Astyanax mexicanus: one gene and its partner. The protein of the gene in region 1 interacts with the protein of each later gene in a pairwise test. Links are inferred from orthologs where the notes say so. Each region holds a gene or a part of one and is shown in the gene's direction. Other genes may lie near its edges.

The links.
Region 2: the proteins of wdr6 (region 1) and g2e3 interact in a two-hybrid assay, tested with the Homo sapiens proteins (2 studies listed by BioGRID and IntAct). The two-hybrid records come from large-scale screens. The link is inferred for Astyanax mexicanus from reciprocal best matches to the Homo sapiens genes WDR6 and G2E3.

The regions. Positions count from the first base shown.
Region 1 is NC_064419.1:49,950,581-49,958,341, forward strand, and holds the start of wdr6 (WD repeat-containing protein 6), read left to right. Parts: upstream 1-4,685; 5' UTR 4,686-4,757; coding exon 4,758-4,758; intron 4,759-5,201; exon of another isoform or gene 5,202-5,334; intron 5,335-6,803; exon of another isoform or gene 6,804-6,977; intron 6,978-7,761. Other genes in the region: fibrinogen silencer-binding protein, read right to left, coding at 714-787, 1,062-1,164, 2,724-3,038. UniProt on the Homo sapiens protein: Together with methyltransferase FTSJ1, methylates the 2'-O-ribose of nucleotides at position 34 of the tRNA anticodon loop of substrate tRNAs. Required for the correct positioning of the substrate tRNA for methylation.
Region 2 is NC_064421.1:45,549,109-45,557,107, reverse strand, and holds the start of g2e3 (G2/M phase-specific E3 ubiquitin-protein ligase), read left to right. Parts: upstream 1-4,877; 5' UTR 4,878-5,331; coding exon 5,332-5,383; intron 5,384-5,516; coding exon 5,517-5,614; intron 5,615-6,264; coding exon 6,265-6,366; intron 6,367-7,319; coding exon 7,320-7,444; intron 7,445-7,999. UniProt on the Homo sapiens protein: E3 ubiquitin-protein ligase which accepts ubiquitin from an E2 ubiquitin-conjugating enzyme in the form of a thioester and then directly transfers the ubiquitin to targeted substrates. Essential in early embryonic development to prevent apoptotic death.

The DNA.
Region 1 (7,761 bases):
GATTTGCGCAGAAAATACTGCATTTGCAATTTTCAAAAAAGTTTAGAATTAATGTTTTTAACACGCTATAAAACATTACGGTGAAAAACTAATGTACAATATTTAGTTACAAAACATAAGCAGAAAATATTAAATAAAACAATATTATTTAAAAGAATGACACACGACAACATGATGAAGAGTGATGATAAAAAATAATCAATTAAAATAAATAATGATGGCTATCTGCAAATAATATTGATGACATTCAAAATCTAAATCTGCAGTTTCGCCTGTCACAATAACTTTTATATATCCATATTTTTATTTTAAGACCATTTTAGTGGCCTTAAACATTTAATTATTAAGAATATTTAGACTTTTCAGACTACTTAGAATTGAAATGATGCTCACGAAGCAGAAAAAAGTGACACAATAACTGTGAATAATATATGATAAACATCATTAATATCATTTATATAATTGCCAATTGATTTATGTTAAAATTAATATTCATCAAACTGTTGTTGCTCAAATATGTTAAATACTGAAATCATCTTTAATACATTTAAAATCTTTTTTTCTGAGTATGTTCTGAGCATCAGTATTCTGGGAAATATTTAATTTTACTATATTAAACAGCATATAAACTAAACAGACTCACTAGTTATAAATATGAACAGATGTAACAGAAGCAGTTTTAGTGGTATGGAGTGGAGAACGAACACACTGACATCAAACTGCTGATAATGCATTACATCATTTTGGTCCAGATCCTCTGGCTCGTTCCCATTGGTCCCTCCGATCCCTGGAAAAAAGACAAACAAAACGAAAAAAACGTGATAAACTTATATAAATATATTTTTGCCTTTGCTGATAATTTATGGTGTAACAGATAACCGACAATCAGTGATCTGTCCAAATCTCCCTCCTGCCCCGCCCCTAAACCCATACATCACTCAGTCACCCAGTGACTTCATCGCAACGTCACTTTGTTTTAAGATCGTGTAGCCCTAATAAACACCACAGACAGGATGCACCTGGATATCTGAGGAGGAACAGGTGAGACAGGTGGAGTTTACCTGGCCCCGGGGAGCTGTTTGTGACGACGTAGCTCCCGTCTCCATCCACATCCTCCAGGTTAGTGATCAGGTTCGGCACCAGAGCCATCACTTCTCTCTGCACCTGCAGGAAACGGGGAAAAGAGAGTATTAAGAAATAGGCTTTAAAGAAACTTTAACATTTATTTTATTTATCTACAGTGTCTCATGTATAATATGTATAAAATGCTGTAAAATAACAGTGCCTTCAGACTTTTGGAGAACAAACCAACACCTGTTATCCTTTTTAATTCAGATAGAATTTAGAGAATTTAAGCTAATCTTTATTTATTTTATTAGTTTTAAAGTAATACATGTGTAATATCAGATATCTGCTCAGAATTCCCACAAATCAATTAATCAATAAATCAATTAACCTTTATTTAGTCTCAGATTTAAATTGAAACTAAACTGAAACGGAGAATCACCTCATTTTAAATGTAGCTGAATATTTAATATTGAATGAAGAAAAACTAAAAATTAAAATAAAGTTTATGCGAGCGCTGCACTTATGGTGGTCAGTGTGTATCTGTGTTATAAATCAGGTCAAACTTTTGGAACTGGTCCGAGACCAAAAAGCAAAAAAAGCAAATTAAAGCTCTATCTGGACGGGATGATTTTCTCAGTGTAGCATCTGTGTTAAATATTTCACACTTCTACTCTTTAGTGATTAAAACTCCTGCATCCGGGCTGCAATTGAATAAAAAGGAGGACCAGTGAGTTTTTAGGCTTTAGTTTTTCTCGGTCACATGACATCATCACGGCGTTCAGTAGCTCCTCCATTTCCACTCGCTGTTGTGTTTTTCTTACGTGGATCTCCATGGAAACTATTGCGCGTCCAAAATGTAATTACGGTGCGCGGCAGTGGACAAATATCTATTTTATTAAAAGTGAGGAAACGAAACTCAGAGATGTGCGTCCGGACAGGACTAAAATTACCGGAGGAGCACGGAGTTCAGAGAAAAACAGTAGATAATTCAGCCTGTAATTTTCTCAGAGGACGTCCGAGAAAAACACGTACACTGTAAACCCGTACGTTTGTTTGAACTCAAATGATTTAAGTCTGTTTTACATAAAATTGGATTTTTCTAAACAATACTCAACTATTTTGAGTTACTGTACTATTCAAACTGAGGACTTTGAGTTGAACCAACTTATAATAACTGAGTTTAGTCTGTTTTGCCATCAACAGTTTCTTTTCTATTGGCTTCTTTCACACTCTATTTGCATACTGGGCGTGTCCAACAGTTTCTGACAGACACTCACCATCAGTGTGTAGTGATTCCCCCCCTGGGCTACCTTACAAATAAATCAACTTCCCCTTTAGTTGTAAGACCTTAATGTTTTAATTTATAATAACTCAAAAAAATTGAGAAAATCAGCTGCCTTAAAAAAAAGTTAGGTAAACTCAACTTATCTGGTTCTTACATATATGCTAAATGAAGTTTTTATTACCCATTACTTAACTTTTTAAGTCTCAATTTTTTTAAGTAAATTTAACTTATCCGGGCTTACAGTGTACATGGTTGTTCTGGACAGGAATAAAATCACAGAGGATAAAAACTATCCCAAAACCCCCTGAGAAACTAATTCCATCCAGATAGGGCTTTAGAGATGTATTTAATAAGACGGTAGTGACTGTACCTGTGTGAGGGCGGTGAGCGGCATCCCCGACGCCTGCTGCTCCTGCCGCCTCTGCAGCGCCACCCGGCACTCCACCTTCAGCCTCTTCCACAGGGTTTTGAGGGAGCCCACGCTGCTGGGCGGCCGGTTGGGGAAAGCCTCGTTGAAGGCCTGGGCGAGTTCGGCCCACACAGCGTTCCGGTACACAGTGGTGTTGGTGTCTTTACGGAAGTCCTGCACGGCGTCCACCACGCTGTGGATCTTCTGCAGCAGGTAGAGCTTCTGCTCCAGAGTGAAGTTGGGCATCCTGTACGTCATGGTGGTGAGCATCTTCATTTGCGATGTGTGTGAATATGAGAGTGTGTGTGTGTGTGTGTGTGTGTGAGGAATGCTGTTGGTATAAAGTCAGGAAGGATCACACACAGAGGAATAAGGCTGCTGGTCAGTCGACTCGTTCATGGAGTTCTAACCTGGTATACAGAAGCGTCCATTTACGTCCAAAAGTACAAAATGTTCTATATGCTATAAACGCTACATAACAGAAGTTATGGGGTTATGTATTCATCACAGGTCTGTTGTGAATTTGGTCCCTTCGATAAGCGTTAAGTCACATTTGATGCGACATACTTAAAAAAGAAAAAGAAAAAAAACTACAAAATATATAAACTATATTTTAAGAAAATAACAAAAATATAAGTTTAAGACTCTGTGTGTGTAAGGCTGCTCGGTCAACAACGGCAACATCCACACGGTGGGCCTGCTGTCCGTCGACGCATCCGGGATCTGAGGGGAAAAATAAAGATAAAAATAAATACTTATTAAATATCTTTTGACATAATAAGTAAGTTGTAAGTTTTCTTTATTTTTTTAATTATTATTTTTTTTACCACTGAACAAATTAAATAACCTTAATGAATTTCGCTATCTAAAAACTACAATTAACAATATTTATTGAACAAAAAAAAAAAGAAAATCATAAAATGGGATAAATATTCATTATTCCCCATTTTTGTAAAAGTGAAATAAAAAACTAGAACCCTGGAAAATAACTTTTTTTTTTTCTTCACTAAACCAAATGGAAAAAACACGTGAAGCATATATAGCAGATACATGGTTCATGTAGTCAGTCTCTCTGTAAGTTATAAATGTGTAATATCACTATCTGTTTATATGTGCGTTTTATCAGATACCGGTAGATATGCATATTTTACTGGCTATCAGTAGATATATACATTTTATCGTTTATCGGTAGATAATACACATTTTATCAGATATTGGTATATATATATATATATATATATATATATATATATATATATATATATATATATATATATATATATTTTTTTTTTTTTTTTTTTTTATAGAGATTTTATTGGATATAAAAGTAGACACACATTTTATTGGTTATCAGTAGATATACACATTTTATAGTATGTCGGTAGATATATAAATTTTATCGGATAGCAGTAGATATATACATTTTATCGATTTTGTCATATACTGGTAGATAATACGCATTTTATCAGATATCGGTAGATATGTTACATATTTTATCGGGTTAAACTGTCAAATTCTGTAATAATTGTGAGTATTAGTGGGTAATAACTGAGCGCTGTTAGGAGGAATTCTGCTGCTGTAAGTGATCAGCTCTCTGTTTCTCTACTGTTTTATTAATTTACTGCGGGTTTTTTTCTGTTACTGTGTTAAACTGTGTTTATTTAAAGGTAAAAATACAAAAAACAAGCCTTATATTAGAAGATGCTCCCAGCAGAAGTGTATGTAGGATCGTTAAATAGCTTAAATCACTGTATCACAGTAAAATGAAGGTATAGATAAGATAATACTTTATGAGTCCCACAGTGGCGGAAATTCACAGTATTATATGATATACACATTTTATCGGTTTATCGTGTATTGGTAGATATACACATGTTATCGGTTATCGGCATCGGCTCAGACTTCCTGAATCAGTGCATCCCTACAGAACAGGAGTAAGTTGCAGCAGGAGAGCAGGAGAAAAGCGGGAGTTTGAACAGGATATAACAGTGTTACAGTGAGTAAATCTGCAGTGTATAATGTGTATATTCTGAGGTAAACGCTGAGAGAGTGTTTACAGCTGAAGCCCTCAGCCCGAGACTAGGTTTAATCCCTCTGTCTGCCCGCTGTCTCCCTCCCACACATTGATCTCAGCTCAGATTTATATTAATATCATTATTACACTGTAATAAATATGATATTACACATTAATGCGCTGATTCTGATGCAGTTTCGGGGTTTTAGCGCCTCTAAAAGCCTCAAAACCGCAACTTTAGCCCGTCTGTTTAGCCCGCTTAGCCTGTTAGCCGTTAGCCGCGCTGCTAAACCGCTGCACCGTATTAGCGGGTTAGAGACTAGGATTAGGGCTAACGCTAAGGCTAACATTTCCCCGCGCGCCCAAACACACCGAAAACACCCCACGAGCCCCGCGCTGCAGCCCGCGCGCCCCGGTACACTCACCTGCACGCGGAACGATTGAACTCCGCTATAAATGATACTTTGTTGCTCCCACCCCTTTATGTTTGAGCGGCCCGCACCAAATTCAAACAACAGAGAGCTGCTCTGCGCAGCGGCCGCAATCTGCGTAACCGGGGGAGCGGGGCAGCGGCGCGGTGCGCATGCGCTGCGCAAATCCCCGGATCTACAGATCATACCCGCCTGGGATTCACTAACACTGCGCGGAGCAGATGATCTATAGATCTGCGTCTGAGTGCCGCCGAGACTCCGCTCATAATAATAAACAGCCGGAGAGATATTCCTTTATTCTTATTACTACGCTGTAACACGCTGCTCTCACACCATATATATACACCCGGCAGATAAAACGAATAATAATCTGGATATATTCTTCCTTTTATTCGTTTTTTTAACATTCGTTATTGAATGTAATGTAAAAAAGAACATAATAACCAGAAGTTTAAAGAGAATAGTTTTTTTTTTTATTGAAAGTAACAAATTATGTCCAAAAAATCATTAACATTCCCATTGGATAAACTATAAAAACTTAATTTCTTCAAAAAAGTCAGATACCACATTACAAAATTGCAATTACTAAACCCTTAGAATTGTTCATTTGTATGTTTAATAACCCCCCCCCCCCAAAAAAAAAAAATCTAAAAAGCAATGATGGAATATTTAAGCAAACATATGAAGGAAAGAATGGACGCATTGTGTGTCTATAGATAGACATTTTTCCTTTCTTTCTTTTGTTGTTTATAACTAATTATATGTGTTTTAGAGGCAAGTGTTTTAGAATACATTTTACATTGTATTTCTATATTACATCAATTGAACACATTATATTACACAATCCAATAAAAAAATAAAAACAATGCATTCCCATAGAACTGCAATAAAATAAATATATAAACTAATTGGAGTGCAAAGAAAAATAGAAATAGATTTTAAAACATTTTAAATATTTATTGTGAAATTTGCACATTGACCAAATTGCTGATATTTAAGAATTAAAATTGTATGTGTTAATAGCAGCTAAGAAATATATTTAAAAATGTTTTTATTTAATTATGAAATTGCATATTTAACACAATTGCTGATATTTAAGTATAATATAAATGTTCATAGCAGCTGAAAAATATATTTACACTTTTTATATATTTGAATATTTTATTGTGATTAAAATATATAATATATTTTTGGGTTATGTGATGTAGGTGATATCTTAATTTAAATTTTGCATTTTAAATATTTGTTTACTACGCCACCGCCATAAACATAACCTAAAAGAGAGAAAAGTCTCCAATAACTGATAATTATATATTATACAAAAAAGTATTAGCATGATAAATAACCTACATAATACAAGATAAGAATACATTTCTAAAAAGTTTAGACAAAATATGATTATATGTGTTCTCCAGTCGTGTTAATTTTGAAATTGTGTAATTTGTTAATTTACTTTAAAGAAATGTAACGTAAAAGAAATACTGTAGAAATATAATGTTTAAAAGTCCTCCAGTAGGAGCGCTTTGATCTACAAAGGGGGCGGGACGCTTCAGTATGCTGGGCTGTGATTGGTCAGAGCTTTCGGTTGTGCGGAAGTTACCCGGATAAACACACATGTCTGCCCGCAGTGAGACACGCTGGTGCTGAATATAAAGAGAATTGAGTTAAATTCTGTAATAATTCGGATTATTTAGTTTATATATTTGTGTGTATGGAGTTGTGAGTATTAATAGGTAACAACAGAGCGCTTTTAGGAGGAATTCTGCTGCTGTAAGTGATCAGCTCTCTGTTTCTCTACTGTTTTACTGATTAACTGAGTGGTTTCTGTGTTAAACTGTGTTACTCTGGTGATTATTTAAAGATAAAAACACAATAAACAAGCACTATATTAGAACATGCTCCCTGCAGTAGCGTAGGTAGGATATTTAAATAGCTTACAAATCTGTATCACAGTAAAACTAATGTAATGCAATGTATTTTATCTACCTTAACAGTACAATATATACAATATAATATAAATAATAATAAGTAAAGAAATCTTAAGACTGCATTTACAAACAACTGCACATTGCCTCTTGGTTGCACAGAGTAATGGAACAATATTGTACATTATGTTACACATAGAGGTGATTGGAAACAGTCTTTTATGCTATATTATAGTTTAATAATTTTAATAAAAACACTGAAGCAAATAATGAAAAAAGCTCAGGTTGTTTGATGCACCCAAAAAAAGCCAAATTATCATTAAAAACAGAAAAAACATAAAATGATTAAATAATAAAACATGAAATAATTGGCAGATAAATTGTTAGATTTTTAAAAGTATTTAATTTGTAATTTTTGCAAAAGATTTACACCTAAAATGGGACTTATGTTTCTTCACTCAACGTTTATGAATGAATAATTTCTCTAAAAGTACCAACAACTAACTTTATTGCAAGCAGTTAAATATGCAGAATGTTGATTAGTCAGCATTACCGCAAAGCCTGAGGATTGTGGGTAATGTAGTGAGAAAGAGATAAGATACAACTGTAAAAAATGAAGAGATCACTTC
Region 2 (7,999 bases), on another chromosome or scaffold:
GTCACTTTATGTGACTATCTGGATCTGGATTATTTTCTAATAAGGATAATAAAGCCACATGCATGCTCCAGCTGAAATCTGATTGCTGTGTGGAACAGAATGTACACATTCATTGTCTTATTGCACATCAGTTATTACTGTTGTTTTGGTTTTACTGAGAGGAATTATGGTTGTTTGGTGTGTCTTGGAGAGATGGATGCTATTAACATCATGCATCATGGGTAGACCTGTCATGAAACAAATTTTTTTGTGTTTAAAAAATTTCTTCCCTGAAATTATTGCAATAAACGATATTATTGTCATTTTAAGACCATTAAATGTTACTAATACAATGATAATTCAGCTCTGGAAATAAGAGACTGCCTAATGCTGCTGTTTTTCCTTGATTTTACCAAAATGAAAACCTCTGGAATATAATCAAATAGAAGATGGATGATCACAAGCCATCAAACCACCAAACTGAACTGCTTGAATTTTTGCACCAGGAGTAAAGCAGCATAAAGTTATCCAAAAGCAGTGTGTAAGACTGGTGGAGGAGAACATGATTCCAAGATGCACGAAAACTGTGATTAAAACCAGGGTTTCTCTTCCAAATATTGATCTTTGCATTATTTGAGATCTGAAAGCTCTGCATCTTTTTTTTGTTATTTCAGCCATTTCAAGTTTTCTGCAAATAAATGCTCTAAATGAGAATGTTTTAATTGGAATTTGGGAGAAATGTTGTCTGTAGTTTATAGAATAAAACAACAATGTTGATTTTACTCAAAAATATACCTTTTAATGGCAAACTTTATTTTTTTCCAGAGCTGTATAATCGCATAACAAAGCAGTTAAACCCTTTTAAAGACAACTTTTTTAAAATAATGACTAGCTAAAATACTTTTACTGTTTATTTATATATGTGAACAACCATAAAAACAAACAAAATATATCATACCACCATTATCAAATATTATTAAGGCCATGGTATTTTATTGTACAATTAGAGAATAATGGTGTAGCTAGTAAAATTATATTTGACCCCTCCGTATATTTAATTATATTGTGCCCCCCTGATGGCCTATTACTCAGAAAAAAACCTAGATGCACCACTGCAGTGTGAACAGAGCCTATAACCACCTCCTGAAATGGTTTGAGTTTTTAAATCAGATTTGTATCTGTTTTAAATGCGTCTTGGGTGTGTTTATACTTGGATTTAATGTGGTTTGTCCTAATTTAGATATAATTCTAATACTCAAGATGCATAGTGTAAATAGTGACCAAGTGTAAATAGGATCTAAAATTCAGTGCTGCCCACAGAATGCCAGCTGTTCTGTAAATTTGTCTGACTACATTAAGTATAAAAAATTATACATATAAACAAATATTATCGCATACATAATAACAGCTACACCTCTGCATCCTCTGCTTAAAATACTTTCCGGCAGCTACAGCTGAGACGTACTGTGTGGGAGGGTATTTCTCTTCAGGATCGAGGGTAAACATGTGGTTCACTGATCGTATCCTCTTTCTAACTAACTTTGGTTTCAGCCAAACAGAAGCACCTGACTGGTTTCACAGCGTTTAGCTTTGAAAGACCCATAAAGCGTATCAGAAGGTGATACGCTAGATCCCGGTAGCACATCTGGCTGGGCAAATGCAGGCATGACCAACAGCAGCCAAACAGTGGCATCCTGCCACCATCTGAGTGCTGCCAAAAGTGCGACAGAAACTATTATGCTGTGTGCTACACAGAGTCTTCCTGTTGCCAGAAGGAATCTTTTTCTGTCAAATCCTATTCTATCACATGTCTCAAGTCCTTTGTGCTCATAGTTGTACTTCTGATATAAAACTTAAAGCTGAGTAAAGCTGAGTAAACTTGAGTAAAGCCGATTTTTTTATTCAGATTTCCACTCAAATTTAATATGGTAACAAGCCTAATAGGAGTAAGAAAGCTTTGCAAAATTTAAATATGGTCACCAATTTTTTTTTCATATTTCTAAATTTTGGATCTAATCTGATTACTGTTATATAATTAAATGATGCCTTTCTTTTAACTTTACGATACTTTTCTTATAATTACTGTAAGGTTTCCTGTTATTAATAAAGTGTGTCATATTATCATATGATTATTTAATGATATTTATTTTTTTTGTTATGAATTATTCATTAATTATTATTTACGGTGAGGGAAGTAAGTAAAAACTATAAACTATGACTATACTGACAGAATAAACACACATTTCACACTCAGCAGTGAAGTGTGAACACTGTGATCTACTGTGCCTTTACCACCATCTACTGGTTTGTGTTGACAGTACTGAGGTTGCAATAAGATTTAATGGTTATGCTGGTTATGCACACTCTTGGAGTTATGGAATTTTTGGTGAGAAGGTTCCTCACACCTTGTAATATTAGGCTAGACAATATGTATGTGCGATATGGCCCTAAAATAATAAATAATAATATTTCATGGCATTTTCTGTGATAACGATTCTCTTGGAGATATGTCAAAACAATTAATAAGAATTCAAATTCATGAATACACTACTGCAACAAAATTAAAAAAAATAATTGTATTATTGCATATGATATGATATAGCAAGAGATAATGTCACAGGACTGTGACACAAATATTTTGATTGCAGATTTATTGTGTCTTTCTATGCAATTTTTTTTTTTTTGGGGGGGGTTGTATATTTTTTGCATTATTTTATATATCTAGCAGATTGTTACATGCAACTTGCTGTTCAAGCAATGTCAAATGCTGCCCTCTTGCTGTGAATTGAAGTGATTTACCAATCATTTAGAATGTAGTTAAGTAAGCAGTGAACTATGTTAGATGGGTAGGACAGTTCAGCAGAGTAAAGTATAATACATGTTATGACAAAAGTGGAAAATGTGGAAATCAGCAGAGAGATAAAATAAAAAAATAATTTGCTGGATCATGACATAGCATTTGCTATTTAAATAAAATTAATAAGATACATGGCTGCTGTGATGTGCACAAGACACACAGACAGACTAACTCATTCTAAGTTACTTAATTACTTGACTGACAGGCTGACGGATTTTCTCACAATCACTTTACTGACAGATAGATAAACAGAAAGACAGACAGAAAAATAGACTGGCTGACAGACAGGAAGACTGACTGACTGACTCACTCACTAACTCACTCACACTCACTTGGCTGACAGACAGACAGACAGACACACTGACTGACTGACTGACTGACTGACTGTCCCACTCACACTCACTCGCTTAACAGACTGACAGACTGAATGGCCCACTTACTGACTCATTCACACTCACTAAACTGACTGACTCACTAGACAGACAGACAGACAGACTGATTCACCCACTCACACTCACTCACTTAACAGACTGACAGTGGGCCATTCAGTCTGTCAGTCTGTTAAGTGAGTGAGTGTGAGTGGGTGAATCAGTCTGTCTGTCTGTTCTTCTGTTTGACTGATTCACCCACTCACAATCACTCACTAAACAGACTGACACACTGAATGGCCCACTAACTGACTCATTCACACTCACTAAACTGACTGACTCACTAGACAGACAGACAAACAGACAGACAGACAGACTGATTCACCCACTCACACTCACTCACTTAACAGACTGATTGACTCACTTACTGACTCACACTCACTTACTCAACTGACAGACAGAGAGACAGACTGACTGACTGGCTGGCTGGCCCACTTACTGACTCACTCACACTCACTTAACTGACAGACAGACTGACAGACAGACTGACTGACTCACACAGTCACACTCACTAACTTAACAGACTGACTCACTTACTGATTTGCACACTTACGTAACTGACAGTCTTACGTAACTGACAAACTGTCAATCTGAAGATCTGAAATTCAGTTAATACTAACTAGTTAGTAAGTTCTCTTGAAATTATACCTTTTTACAGTCTGACAGTATAACCTACAATTCAAAGTTATATTATGGGTTTATTTTACCTAAGTGGAATTCAAGCTTTTCTTTCAGCTCTTAATTTATTAGGGTTTGGTGCTGGCCTAGAGTGAGGAGACCCAACCAATATGGCGGTGACGCTCCAGCCCGTAACGAGGCGTCTGCGTATATTATTATGTCTATGGGCGTCAGCCGGCCGCCATATTGGAGGAGTCAACCATGCGCCTCTAGCGCATTAATTTGTACTGAAGAAGGTGTTTATTACACCTATAATAATCATAACGATTTACCCAATTATGTGTGTATTGATGTATATATAAATATAAAATGAATTTATTTATACACTTATTAATATGCCATACCACATGTCTATCTTTGTTAAAAAATTTAATAAAAAGTATTGCAGCATGAAAGCACGTAGCTGTTATTTGTGATGTGTGACAGCGTCCTGAATCATAACTACATCTATGCCGTTTGTAACAAACCAAACCGTGTGAACATTGGGTAATAATTGGTAGAGTTGTGATTATTATAGCTGTATTAAACACCTTACTCCGTACAAATCAGAGACTGTAAAAAATATATATACAGTCTATGGTACAAATAAATGCACTGGGGGAGCATAGTTGACTCCTCCAATATGGCGGTCGGCTGCTACGCTGCACATGTACACATGTCTAATATGGGGGTCAGTACCTCTTGAACGAACCAGAGCACAGTAGAGGGCGGGGTTAGATGTGGGCGGGGTTATATGTATAACCCCGCCTCCTATAGGCTGCAGCGAGACATACATGTGGGCCGTCCTCTGGCATAACCTCAGTTCTCCTCGCTCTGTGGCTGTTATTATTTGAATGAACCAATCAGGAGCGAGCTGGGCGGGGCTTCATCGGCAGAGGGATTTTCGAAAACAGAGGATTGATTTGTGAAGCGGAGAGCGGAGAGAGCCCTTTAATTTCTGGATTTTTAGTGGAATCGGCTTTATTTTGGAACCAGGAGAAGAGCGGTCTGGAGCCTGAGCTGTGCTGAGCGGTAGATTTATCGAAAGCGAGCTGACTTGAGGCGATGCGAGCTTTATTACACAGACTAGTAAAGTAATTTAACGTTAAAGACCCAGACCAGACCCAGATAACTAACTTAGATTATTAGCGTTATATATATATTAAACTACAGAGGCGGCGGAGAGCTAACGTTACAGGTTATTACTGTTACTGTTAGTTATAAAGAGGAGGATGATCAGGTTTTTATTAACTGTTATTGAGTGTGAGAATCACGAGGCCAAGAATAAACGTTAAAGTTGCCTACTGTAACTTTTTGTATTTTTATATGTTAGTGAATTTTAACGTGTAACGTATTTTGGACAACATTTAAACAGTCAGCTGTCGCTCGTTTAACGATAAAAGTCTAAAAATGAGGAAGACAAAGAAGTGTGCTGAACGACTGGTGGGCTCTGTCAACGACGGTAAGTTAGACTAACGTTCATTCTTCGTTTAATTCCATTAACGTTAAATAAAACATAATGTATGTTTTATAGTTAACTATTTAGCAGGAATTGAACGTTAAGCTCAAGCTGTGAACACTGCTTTGTTCTTTAGTTTGTCAGCTCTGCAATCGACGTGACAACTGTCCAGACAAATATGGAGAGAAGTTCACCCTTAAAAAGCACAACATCACCGTCCATTATTTCTGCCTGGTGAGTAATGCTAGCATAGCTAGCTTAGCTAACTAGTTAGCTTAGCTGGGCTATTAAAAACAAACATTTTGAAGTTACTGTTAAGCCTCTGTGGCTTGAATGTTGTTTTATTTGCCTAAAAAGAGGCCTGGCTAATGTTGTCCTGAGGCACCAAACCAAAAAAAATGAAACCATGTCATAAATGTCATTTATAACCTGTTTGTTTAATTATACATTGATGCACATGTACACAATTTATTGTTTTAATATTTACACTGTTCAGCGTTTAATTCAAACATGTTATAACATTTATATTCATTGTATTAACTACTGGTTTCACAGACCATGTGGCTTGTGTTGATAACAAAAAGGTTAGCTAGCTACTCCAACAAGGCTTGTATTATGACAACTAACTGTATGTCAGTGTCAGTAGTGTTCTGAACTAATGCTACTGTGGGAATTTGTGTTTGGTTGATAGATTATATATTTGTTGTAACTATTCTTATTGTATGTTTATCGTATATATATATTATACTGTTGGAAAGCCTGTTAATTTCCCTTTTAAATGGAGCCGCATTTGACAAATCGTCTCGGCCATTGCCAAACAACTTATGTTTATGTTGATTTTGCTTCTGTTTGCTATGTTTATATAACCGCTTTCCTGTTGACAGCTGATGTCCAGTGGAATATTCCAGAGAGGAAAAGAGCATGAGGGTATTCATGGCTTTCTTGTAGATGACATAAAGCAGGAGATTCGCAGATCTTCCAGACTGGTAAATAAACACTTTAACCCAAGTATGATTTTTTTTTTTGGTCACGTTGAGGATGTAGTAACTGGATGTAACTGACAGTTTGTTTTGGTGAGCCTAGCTAAATATTAAACATGCACTACATTGCCATGGTGTTTGGTGATGAGACTTGAATAGAATTGCTTGGCCCTGGAAACCCATTCCATGAAGCACTTTTAATGTTCTTGAGCTACTCTGAAGGCCACATAAAGATTGGAGGTCTGTAGCGATTTACTCTGCAGAAAGTTGGCGACCTCTGCACAGTAGTACCCTGCACTGTCATTTTATGTCATTTTGACACCTTGGAATAATAGCACAACTGGATTTAGCAGTCTGCATGTCTGGGTGCTTGGTTTTAAAAACCTGTGGCCATGGAAGTGACTGGAACCTGAGTTCAATGATGGGTGAACGAAAACTTTTGACAATGTATTGCATGTTTTTTGATACGAGTCAAAGAACAGTATTTCAGAGCAATATACACTGTCAAAAGACATGAGCTACTATTGTGTTTTTTGAATTTTGTTATGTCCCATGGAAGATAACAAACCCTTCACTTAACTAGATGCCAATGTTCATGATCTTTATTGCCCACTGTGCTGCCCTCTGTGTGGTACTGCCTCATATGACACAGTGGAGGAATATCAAATGCCTGCAATCCATCTGGCACCCACTTTCAGACCTTGATAATTCACATCCCTTTGTTATAAACATTCTGGCAGGAGTTTCTGGCCTAACTCACTCACAATATTACACCTCACAACTTATACAGGTGTGGTAGTTCCCAAGCCACCCCTGCAGTAGCACTTCATGATCAGTTTACACAATGCTATCCCCTGATTTTTAAATGTTAATGTTGAATGCATGTTGTGTATAATGTAGGTATCTTTTTGTATGAGAAATACCCCCCAACTCTCTCTTTTTTTCCCCTGCTTATGCAGAGGTGCGTTGCCTGTAAAAAGGTTGGTGCTTCGGTAGGATGCTTTATTAAAAGCTGCAGACAGATGGTCCACATGCCTTGTGGAGTTGAGCAGCAGTTTATCTTCCAGTTCACTGACTCTTTCCCGTAAGTATATTGTTGGTACATTCAGACCAAACTGCACTTTCCTCTTTTTCTGATAAAATCTGTGACATAATGTAGTCATCACTTGAAAATGTGAGATCAGACATGGTACACGTCAATTATGCTGCCTCTGTAAAACTCTCTTTTTTACAAGCTACATGATTAATAGAACATAGCTTGGTGTCATGAATTGTCCCACCTGTTCTGACCTCCATCTAAGTACTGGTAAAATCTGTGCTTTTCCAAATACACCAGTATCTGGCATAACCACCTGTTAAGCTAAGTAAATAAAACTGTAATTCTTAGAAAAACATTTTCTTTTAAAGTCTAATGAGTGCTGAATGTTAATCTACACAGATTTCTCTCCTGCAAACTGTTTATTTGGGGGAGTAAAGCCCCTCAGTTTATTTACAGTAAGCTAAGATTTCCAGATTTCCAATAAGGCTGTGTGCAGCAGTATTAGCATTAGCAGATAACCACTAGTGCTAGCCACAGTAAGCACTAATAAATGCTGCCCGACAGAACTGCACTAAGAAACCCGGAGTGTTCCGGTAAGCC